Arabidopsis thaliana: one gene and its partner. The protein of the gene in region 1 binds, or shares a complex with, the protein of each later gene. Each region holds a gene or a part of one and is shown in the gene's direction. Other genes may lie near its edges.

What was found. Proteins that work in one complex are often made in the same cells at the same time.
Region 2: JR1 (region 1) and BGLU22 share a complex: the UniProt entries of both Arabidopsis thaliana proteins name them as parts of the PYK10 complex.

The regions. Positions count from the first base shown.
Region 1 is NC_003074.8:5,594,962-5,600,159, reverse strand, and holds JR1 (Mannose-binding lectin superfamily protein), read left to right. Parts: upstream 1-2,115; 5' UTR 2,116-2,166; exon of another isoform or gene 2,167-2,188; intron 2,189-2,436; 5' UTR 2,437-2,450; coding exon 2,451-2,645; intron 2,646-2,728; coding exon 2,729-3,190; intron 3,191-3,275; coding exon 3,276-3,725; intron 3,726-3,815; coding exon 3,816-4,064; 3' UTR 4,065-4,479; downstream 4,480-5,198. Other genes in the region: MPPalpha (mitochondrial processing peptidase alpha subunit), read right to left, coding at 216-254; JAL34 (Mannose-binding lectin superfamily protein), read right to left, coding at 4,638-4,886, 4,981-5,198.
Region 2 is NC_003070.9:24,705,979-24,712,147, reverse strand, and holds BGLU22 (Glycosyl hydrolase superfamily protein), read left to right. Parts: upstream 1-2,151; 5' UTR 2,152-2,410; coding exon 2,411-2,575; intron 2,576-2,733; coding exon 2,734-2,803; intron 2,804-2,880; coding exon 2,881-2,936; intron 2,937-3,265; coding exon 3,266-3,341; intron 3,342-3,464; coding exon 3,465-3,542; intron 3,543-3,631; coding exon 3,632-3,719; intron 3,720-3,807; coding exon 3,808-4,060; intron 4,061-4,153; coding exon 4,154-4,269; intron 4,270-4,346; coding exon 4,347-4,564; intron 4,565-4,668; coding exon 4,669-4,703; intron 4,704-4,810; coding exon 4,811-4,913; intron 4,914-4,996; coding exon 4,997-5,105; intron 5,106-5,181; coding exon 5,182-5,389; 3' UTR 5,390-5,636; downstream 5,637-6,169. UniProt on the Arabidopsis thaliana protein: Beta-D-glucosidase active on scopolin >> esculin >> 4-MU-glucoside. No activity with DIMBOA-glucoside, pNP-glucoside, oNP-glucoside and sinigrin as substrates.

The DNA.
Region 1 (5,198 bases):
GAACTTTCGAAACAGAGACATTTCATAAACCTGCAAAAAGCATGAATAATGGCACCAGCTACTATAAAGCGATAAAATTGAATCAAGATCTATAAGAATCTAAGAGACCCTTTAATCCAAATCCAAAAACAATGAATCATACAAATTGTTCAATACTAAGCATTCTCCTAAAAAAACCAGAATCTCAATGGAAACAAGTGAAGTAGGACATTGACCTTAAGGGCCTTGGCTCGAGAAGCTGCCGTACGGTACATGATGATGACTGCGAAACCCTAGCTTGGTCAGATGAGTACCGGTGAATGTGGCTGACGACGGGAGAGAGATAGAGGCCGAGTCAGAGCTGAAAAGAAACGAGAGAAGGGAACGATTTTTTTTCCTAATTAAGGTTATTGGATCGGGCAATTGCTTCTAATTACATTGATAGGCCCATATGATATAATAGTCTTGGCCCAAATTATAACATATAGAAAAGATGAATTTAAAGCCCATGTATTGTAGTGGTGTGATCCTATTATATTTTCTCTCAATTATATTTTTTTTCTTTTCTTTTTCACGTACCATTGTGTAAAAATTCAAGTAAGGTAACGACATTTACATGCAGTCACAAATGAAACAAGAATTTTTTTGAGGTGTGTGTAAAGTGAAACGAAAAAAGTACTAAGAAAGTTTATCTTCTCTAAGTTAATAGAATTATTTTGAAACGTAGTATCCACATATATAGAAGACTCGTGTGTGGTGCATATATATACTGCATAACTTCAATTGAACTGTATTATATAACTATGACTATCCATCCATGGGAAGATAAGAATGAGAGCCGAATGCTAAAAAGCAAGGGACCCGAATTAAACAAAAATGAATAAAGGAGAAAGGTTTGTGTGATTTTGTCAATTGTCGTCGTTTAGTGGATGTGTAAAAATACTAAATACTATAACAGGTGGTGTGGGTCTATCTTTTTTTTTTTTTGGTCTAATGTTAAATGTGGGTCTATCTTAATAATGCAGAAATAGTGCAATACGATTCATGAGTGGAAAAAATCATATTTGGGTACTCTCATATATAGTCTCATTAATCATTATCACCGAGTGGGGCGTACGATACACTTTTTCTTCTTTATCTGTTTTCATCTAATCATCATACTGTATGTCTATATTATCGTAGCATTCATCATCGAGTTATGAAACTTATGCCAAAAGAAAAGAAAAAAAAATCATTTGAGATTGGTTAAATTTCTATTTTAAGATTTAAACCAAAATGTTTAAAGTTCTATAAGCTCTAATTAAAGTCTCTGCAGTCCATTAAAATGGATAATTAGGATTTGCCGAACTTGAAAGGAGTAATGCACATTTTGATGCTCACGTGAACAACGAGTTGTAACGGTTTCGCTATAATTGGAGGCAGATGAGAAATGGTCGTGTGTGAGTTTTAATACCACGTGATTAACGGAGCCACAATCATATTCATGGGCCATTCTCATGAGCTATAATTTGAGGTGTAGCTGAGAGATGGTCAAATGCCACGAACTTTGAGTATTTCTTTCTTAACTTTGCATTTTTTTAGACGTAAGTTTTTTTTTTCATAGCCTACATTTCTTTGACAACTCATAACCTACATTTTGAGAATTTATAAATGTCAATTTATCATTTAACCTTCTCACGATAATGCAATTCCTATGGTAAATGTCAACTCATAACAGACTCTACGAAGAATCTACGACACTGTGAAAATCTCTAATCCAATATTCAAAAGAGAGTTAAAAAAAAAAAAAAAAAACAGAAGAGAACATCTTTACGATGCTGCTTTCACGATTTTAAAATTTTAGGTGATTTTTTTTGGAATTTTGGAATTCTCTTTACAAATTTTATGTTGTAAGGTAGATTCAATTTTAAAAAAAAAAAGATATTTAGATTAATACAAGTTCCTAAGTCCTAACTAATCAAAGCTTCCATCCCTCGTGAAGCACGAGTTGGTTGAATATAAAGTCTCTCAAAAAGAAAAGAAAAAGTGGTTAGTATTGGCAGAAAAAAAAAGTGGTTAGTATTGGATGAAAAGAGAATTTAATGTTCGTATTCAAAAATGTTTTATATATACTATATAGTATATATACAAAATCCCAAGATTAACTCATTCATATTCCATCTTCATCTCCATTTCTCACACTCAAAGGTGTTTCTTCCTTCCCTTTAATGTACTCCTTTTTTCTTTCTTTCACAAAATCGTTATATTGATTTTTACTAGTTTTATTTGAATTATTGAATTTCTTTATATGATAATGAATCTATGAGAATATGATACCATTGTTTAAAGTAATGTCCTAGTGGAAGTATTATAGTCCTCAGATTAGATTAGTTTCATCATCATGAAAGTGCTTGAGTAGTGTCTGTTCATGGCTCTTGTGCGTTTACAGTTTCTAAGAAATGGGTACTATAACTTTAGGTTAAGAAGAAAAGATGGCGAAAAAGTTGGAAGCTCAAGGTGGTCGTGGAGGAGAAGAATGGGACGATGGTGGTGCTTACGAAAACGTCAAGAAAGTGTATGTTGGTCAAGGTGATTCTGGTGTTGTTTACGTCAAGTTTGATTACGAGAAAGATGGAAAAATCGTATCACACGAACATGGGAAGCAGACACTACTTGGAACAGAGGAGGTAAATATTTTGTTTTCAATGAGAGTTCTCTTGTCATCAACATTAACTGATCATTTTTGGTTGTCTTTTTTTTTTTTTGCTAGTTTGTGGTTGATCCAGAAGATTACATAACATCAGTGAAAATTTACTACGAGAAGCTCTTTGGATCACCGATAGAGATCGTAACGGCTCTAATCTTTAAGACATTCAAGGGGAAAACTTCTCAGCCTTTTGGACTAACCTCTGGAGAAGAAGCTGAGCTAGGAGGTGGCAAAATCGTTGGATTTCATGGAAGTTCAAGTGATTTGATCCATTCTGTTGGAGTTTATATAATTCCGTCGACTACACCGCTGACTCCGCCGGTATCAGGTGGTCTGACCAAATTGGAAGCTCAAGGTGGTCGTGGTGGAGATGTTTGGGACGACGGTGGTGCTTATGACAATGTAAAGAAAGTTTATGTTGGACAAGGTGACTCTGGTGTTGTTTATGTCAAGTTTGATTACGAGAAAGATGGTAAGATTGTATCACTTGAACATGGGAAGCAAACACTACTTGGAACAGAGGAGGTACACAAATCTTTGTATTTCTTGAAATTGCCCAAAAGTTTTTTTTTTCTTTCTTTCTAGTATTGATGTGTTTTTGTTTTTGCAGTTTGAGATTGATCCTGAAGACTACATCACCTATGTGAAAGTTTACTACGAGAAACTTTTCGGGTCACCGATAGAGATCGTCACAGCTCTTATATTCAAGACATTCAAAGGAAAAACTTCTCAGCCGTTTGGACTAACCTCTGGAGAAGAAGCTGAGCTAGGAGGCGGCAAAATCGTTGGATTCCATGGAACTTCAAGTGATCTGATCCATTCTCTAGGAGCTTATATTATTCCTTCGTCCACACCATTGACTCCTTCTTCCAATACTATTCCAGCACAAGGTGGAGATGGTGGAGTTGCTTGGGATGATGGTGTTCACGACAGTGTCAAGAAGATATATGTTGGACAAGGTGACTCTTGTGTGACCTATTTCAAAGCTGACTATGAAAAGGCTTCAAAGCCTGTCCTTGGAAGTGATCATGGGAAGAAGACATTGCTTGGAGCAGAGGAGGTTGTAATCTTGATTTCATTTTCAAATCTTGTTTTCTATAGTTATTGATCTAGAAACCTAAAGTCTTTAATTTTGTTGCAAAACGTGCAGTTTGTGCTTGGACCAGATGAGTATGTCACTGCCGTGTCGGGCTACTATGACAAGATTTTTAGTGTAGATGCCCCGGCAATCGTCTCGCTTAAGTTTAAAACAAACAAGAGAACATCTATCCCGTATGGACTCGAGGGAGGAACTGAATTCGTACTGGAGAAGAAAGACCACAAAATCGTTGGTTTCTATGGACAAGCTGGTGAATATCTTTACAAACTTGGAGTCAATGTTGCGCCCATAGCCAAATGATGTGAAACCAATCTGGATATCCCTGAAATTTGAATAAGGTTATGTTGTGAGTTTATGAAGTTGTGGTCTAGTGTTGTATTTTGTTTTTCTTAAGGATAATGCATCTGTGTGCTTTGCTTATCTAAAATCTAAATAAAGTGGGTTTCTGCATTGTGACTTTGCACAAACTTCTTTTGTTAAAATGAATAAGAAATCACATCAAGAAAACAGAACAAGACCACAACGAGAAGACTTGAAACTCTCTGAAGGTATATAAACAAACAGAACCTAGTAAATTAGAGTCAGCTTATTCAAAACTTTTAGACCATCATCAAGATCATTATAAACTTGGAGTCAATGTTGCGGAAACCAATCTGCTATCCCCGGAATTTCAAATAAAGAGACTAGAGAATTACTTTGAACACACTTCTTTTATTAAATCGGATCACAAAAATCCATCAAAGACACAACAGCAACAAACACAAAGAGAAGACTTAAAACACTGAAGCAGTAAACAAACAGAGAGAAATAAAGTAGAATCAGCTTATTCAAAGTGTGTAAACTATCATCAAAAGATACTTAAAATCTCCATAATTATTTGGTTATTGGCGCGACATGGACTCCAAATTTGTGAAGTAGATCACCAGCTCTTCCATGGAAACCAACTATCTTTTGACCGTCCTTCTTGAATTCGAAGGCTGTGCCAGCTCCTATTCCAAAAGGAATAGATACTCGCTTATTAGTCGTGAACCTAAGCATATTTACGATTGGTTCATTCCCAAAGATTGCATCGTAGGTGCCATCAACTGCCGTGATGTATTCACTTGGATAGTCAAGCTCAAACTGCAATTCAAGAAGCACAAAAAAGAACAAAATTGAGGATAATAAACTATACGGTTAAACGACGAAAGAGAAAGCAAGAACTAATAAAGTATACCTCTTCAAATCCAAGCAATGTGGGTTTTCCATGTTCTTTTCCTTCTACAACCTGACCTGCTTTGTCGTACACAAACGAGACCGCTCCAATACCATCTTGGGCTTGTCCTACAGACACTTTCCTTACACCGTCGAAAGCACCATCATCCCATAAAGTTCCTGCCTCACTACCAGCTCCTTCTAGCTTTTGGGATTGTGTTGCAGGAGTCAAAGGGGTGG
Region 2 (6,169 bases), on another chromosome or scaffold:
TTAAAAATAAAACTAATTCAACTAGCTTAAAATTAATTATCGCCAAATAAGTACCAAACGTAGCCCGGGCTAAACCTTAGTATTTTAAATATGCTAAAAATCTATTTACAGATAGATGGTGCATCGCCATCAAGTAGCAAAATAAGCGTCAGCGCAATACTATCAACGAAAAAAGATGGTATGTTAAAAAAAGGTTTCTAGCTACTACATATTCGATTTAAATATTTATCAAAGTAATAATAATCTACAATGTGATTTACTGATCATAATGCGTGGAAGGTGGAACCTATTATATTGTTAATACTTAACAATATTATCAAAGTACAATAATGTGATTGCTGATGCATCGTGACGTAAAACAAGAACACCTTCAAAGTCAAACACCAAGAGAGATTGTCGTTACATGTGTTTTTAATGATATATAAGGAAGCTTCATTATTTTGGAGTTATACAACGACTTTCATTCAGTCACATTTAATATATATTTGTTGCTTAATCGTGACACATGTCGAATTTATTTTATTTTTTAGTATTTAATAGTTTTATATTTAATTGGAAGTTTCCATTTCCTTGACTACGCCATAAAGATACACAAAGACTCTTAACTGATCCAGATCATTGAAGTAACCAAGGGTAAGTAATTGAACTGGCCATAGTTAGTAAAAGATTGTACCAACCGTTTCTTCATTCTTAGGAGAGCAAAAAAAACTAGTCGCAGTGTATTCTTCTTCTATGACGACTAGACGAGAGTAGTGAGTCGCAATGTGCTTTGGTAGGGCATCAGCTAAGAGGAATACACATATTTTTAAGTTGCTTTCTTCCAAGGTACAATATTTGACATATATATGGACTTGTAAACTTACCAGATTTTCTGATCATGTAAATAGTAGCTTTCAATGTCCTCGATCACAAAGGCCATGAAGTGTAGCATTTTGAGAAATGGTCATTCCAAATCTAAATGGACTTTCTCATTGAGTTGTTTGAAAGAAAAATAATCAATTACACCACCAATTGATCGACCAAGAAAAATGTTTGGTGAATAATAGTTACCCCAATTTGTGTTTTTTTGGGCAAAAAAGTTGCCCCACATTTATATTTTAATTTTGATGCCTAAATTTCGTTGATCTTAATTAGGCTTTACCGCACTGTCCTGACAGCAGTCAGCATGCGACTAGAATGTGACCAATTGTTTGTCCGAAACCGAAGATTACTCATTCCAAACTCCCAGTCTAATTGGAGGTTGTGTCTTGATATCTAATAACTTGTTTGATAACCATTATAAGGTCTTTTGCTTAGGTTTTACGGTCCATAAGTTACCAATGTATCCTATGATCAGGACGACTACTACAGGTTCAAGATTTTGAAGATATAGGTCATACACTAGATTTTCTTATTTATAATTGTATAGTTTAGCTTAGTCACCCGGGATCTCTCATCGAATGAATCATCCTATTTAAATAATAGTCAAGCGGAAACCAATAATGAAAGATTATATTAAGTTATGAAAACGTCAATAATAATCATGATTAAGATAAGATCGAAAACACCATTTGGATGATTAGATCTATCTATATAGTAAAATAAAATAAACATTATCAACGAGGCCTGGTTGTGGCATATTAAAAACAAGACATTAATGAGAGATCAGTATCGCTATAAAAAACGACACTAACATATAAATGAACCATCCTAAAATTGTTTTCTTAATCAAGACAAAAGAAAAAAAAGAAAACTAAAAACCAAAATGTCATTGCAAAAGTTTCTCATGGGGACACGTTGCTCCTAACCACCATCGTATACAATAGTTAAATAATTGTATACTATCTTAGTGGGATAAGTAAATGAAAGTTTATTCAATAAATATTAATATCTTAAACGTCAATAATACCTAAAGTAAGATCCAAAAACTCGATCTGGATCATTACTATAGAAAATTAAAGAAAATGATTAACGAGGCCTTGTTGGCATATCTTTTTCTTTTCTTGTAAAACAGATCTGGTTGCATATTTGAAAGTAGACATTAAATGAGAGATCCGTTGATTATGGAAGATTAAATGTTAATATTGTTGCTCGTTAAACACGAGAAATATTATTAAGACGAAGGTGCAACAATAGATGAAGACTTCAGTTATAGGACATACACGATTTTTTTTTTTTTTTGATAGGATACACTATTTATTTAAAGGCACGTTTTTATTATATGTTCCACGCGTAATATAATATGTTCCAAACTTTGAAAAATAAGTAAGAACACACCTATATATAAAATAAATTTATTAAACAAATATAGTTTAGTGACTTATTTGTCATTACCAAACAATCAAAATCACTATATAATTAAGAACTCTGTTTAGATGTAAACAAATCATCACAAACTTGTTCTCTTCCAAAAGACCAAAAATTAGAAACCATGGCATTGCAAAAGTTCCCTCTCCTGGGGCTTCTTTTTCTCATAACCATTGTCGTCTCTTCGACAATAGCCGTCGATGATCCTGTGTGCCCAACGACGTCCAAACTAAGCCGAGCAAGTTTCCCTAATGGGTTTGTGTTTGGCACAGCTACTGCTGCGTTTCAGGTAAACTGTGAGACATCAAAATGAATTATTTACTACACTATACTTCAAAAATATGTATTAGTGTTGTGTCTCCATCAAAATTCAAGCCTAAGTCCAAATGCTGAATTCAAACATATGTTATTACCTCAACTCATCAGCTATTTTCGTTATGTCATTAGGTTGAAGGTGCAATTAATGAAACTTGTCGTGGACCTGCTCTATGGGATATCTTCTGTAAGAGAAATCCAGGTGAGTGTATAATCTATATTTTCTATACAATATCTTTAGATATCTAAATTCATTCACTTTTTATTTTTAAATTACAGAGAGATGTAGTGGCCACAACGCCGATGTGGCCGTTGATTTCTTCCATCGTTATAAGGTAAATATATATATGTATTTTGAATCTAAATTTAAAGTATATTCAAAAGAAAAAAAACATCTTTACAATAAAGTGCCTCTTGTTTGAAAAGAATTTTGAGAAAATTAACTCAGAGGATGCTTACAAAACTTTGAAATGGTTAGACCCTTGAGAGGAGCCACACTGTATATATAATATATTAATATAAAGTTGAGGTATATATTAATATAAATTTAAGGTATATATTAATATAATTTTAAGACAAATATAACTTATATTTTATACTTTTAGTTTGCTGATATTATACGAGATATTATTGAAAATTTGTCTCGTCTTAAAAATGTTTGTAGGAAGATATTCAACTAATGAAGAATCTAAACACAGACGCATTCAGACTCTCAATCGCATGGTCAAGAATATTTCCTCGTGAGTATATGTCTGCAGATCTCTAGTTTGATTTAGTAATCGAATTTGGTGAATTGATATATAAATCAATAACTAATGAATTTTACATTTATTGACTAATCAAACAAACTAACGGGTTTTTAGATGGGAGAAAGGAGAAGGGAGTGAGTCAAGCTGGTGTGAAATTCTACCACGACCTGATCGATGAGCTCCTTAAAAATGGTTATATACATATAAACTAATTAATTAAAAAAGACAAGAAATATAGTATCATTATTTAACATTTCTATCTATTTTTACATTGTAACTAGGTATAATTCCGTTTGTGACTGTTTTCCATTGGGACACTCCACAAGATTTAGAAGACGAATATGGCGGTTTCTTAAGCGAGAACATTGTGTATGTTTTTGTAAATTGAAACAAAATACATCTAATTAAATTTTATATGGAAATTATTAGTTTAATATCATTTTTTGCAAAAATACAGGAAAGATTTCCGAGAATATGCAGATTATGTTTTCACTGAATACGGTGGAAAAGTGAAAAACTGGATCACTTTCAACGAGCCATGGGTCTTCGCTCATGCAGGTTACGACGTAGGCAAGAAGGCGCCAGGACGTTGTTCTCGCTACCTTAAAGGTTGTGAAGACCGAGATGGACGATCAGGTTATGAGGCTTATCTAGTTAGTCACAACCTCCTCAACGCTCATGCAGAAGCTGTTGAAGTTTTCCGCCAAAAGGTAATTTACATTAGATATATATATCAAAATTAACTATCAGGTTTTGGATATGAATATAATTTGTTTTGTGTTGTGTTAATGGACATTTTGTAGGTTAAAGGTGGGAAAATTGGAATCGCACATAGTCCGGCTTGGTTCGAACCACATGATCTTAAAGATTCAAATGACGTTCCAACTGTTAGCCGTGTACTTGACTTTATGTTGGGATGGTAGGTATATACTTTGATAAAATGGGGTCTTGTATACAATTTCATATAATTGATGGAGTTTTGATTATTATTTGTAGGCATCTAGACCCAACTACTTTTGGAGATTATCCACAAATCATGAAAGACCTTCTTGGTCACAGATTGCCCAAATTCACTTCTTCACAAAAAGCAAAATTGAAAGATTCGACCGATTTCGTAGGGCTTAACTACTATACTTCAACATTTTCAAACCATAATGAAAAGCCAGATCCGTCTACACCAAGTTGGAAGCAAGATTCTCTTGTTGCTTGGGAACGTAAGTTTTTTTTTCCTTACATGAAACCAAACCAAGAAACTAAGAGAAAATGTTTTCTTTATAATACTAATTGATATGTATACATTTTCACTTTTAAATTTCAGCTAAGAATGTAGATCACAGCGCCATTGGTAGCCAGGTATGCGTTAAACTAAACTAGTCCTAGTTTGAGATTGTTTTAACAACTAAACAATTAAAATATTTCTCTCAACGACATAACATCTATCACCATTGTTTTATTTTCAGCCTCTTACCGCTGCATTGCCCGTCTACGCTAAAGGTTTTAGAAGTCTTTTAAAGTACATCAAAGATAAATACGCAAACCCGGAAATTATGATCATGGAAAATGGTAACTCGAGATTTATGGTTACTGTGTGTTGATTTAGTTTGGAGTTAAAATATATATTCATCTTAATGTTGTTGTTTTTCTAGGATATGGAGATAAACTTAAGGACAAAGATTCGGTTGAGGTTGGTACTGCTGATTATAACAGGAAATACTATCTTCAGAGGCATCTTCTAGCTATGAACGAAGCTATTTGGTAACCGTTTACTATTTATTTATTTAGAGAACAATTCTATGGAATGATCTAATCAAGAAAATTTGTGTATGTGCAGCATTGACAAAGTGAGAGTTACGGGATACTTTGTATGGTCATTATTAGATAACTTTGAATGGCAAGATGGTTATAATAACAGATTCGGACTCTATTACGTCGATTTCAAAAATAACCTCACACGTTATGAGAAAGAATCAGCCAAGTACTACAAAGATTTCCTCGGTCAAGGTGTTCGTCCATCCGCGCTCAAGAAGGATGAGCTTTAAGTTATATTTTGAGGATTTGGTTTTCTGTTCAATGCTTCTTTCCTATGTTTTAGTTTGTGATTGATCATGATTCATGAAGTCTTGGTTAATAATAATAAAAGTGTTTTGTATTCCTTCAGTTTCTAGCTTATTTGACATGATCAAGAATGCTTTAGTATAAATATATTATCCTTATATGAAGGTATCTTTACCTTCAAAACATGAAGAAATATTGTATTATATATATTAAAAAAAGTCTTAAATTTACAAAAGGACTGATGTTTTTAAATATGAAGTAAAAATATCATAGTTTTTAAAATATTGAAAATACGAATTTACCTCTATTTAAAGAAATAGATTATGCAATAACTAGACGTCGTCTTAACAACTAAATCGTGCAAATATTTTAATGACTAATAACTTCAACAACTTAAACCGCTTGGCGATGAAATAAAACAATGGAAATAGTTTAACATTTTTAGAAAATCACCATGATTTGAGATCGGATAAGATGTCACACCGTAGCTACAAGTTTGAGATTAATCTTTCCAAACAATTTAGATAAAATCAAGTTACATAATTTGATATCGGATAAGATAAGACAATGTACATAAAAATGAACACAACATAATATCAGCAAGATGGTTCTAATATAACAGATTGGGATTCTACTACGTCAATTTTAAAAATAATCTCAATGTTATGAGAAACAATCAGCCAGGTATTACAAAGATTTCTTTGGTCAAGGTTTTAAGGCCCTGTTCGTTTCTACATTTGATAGATCCATCCAACTGATCCATT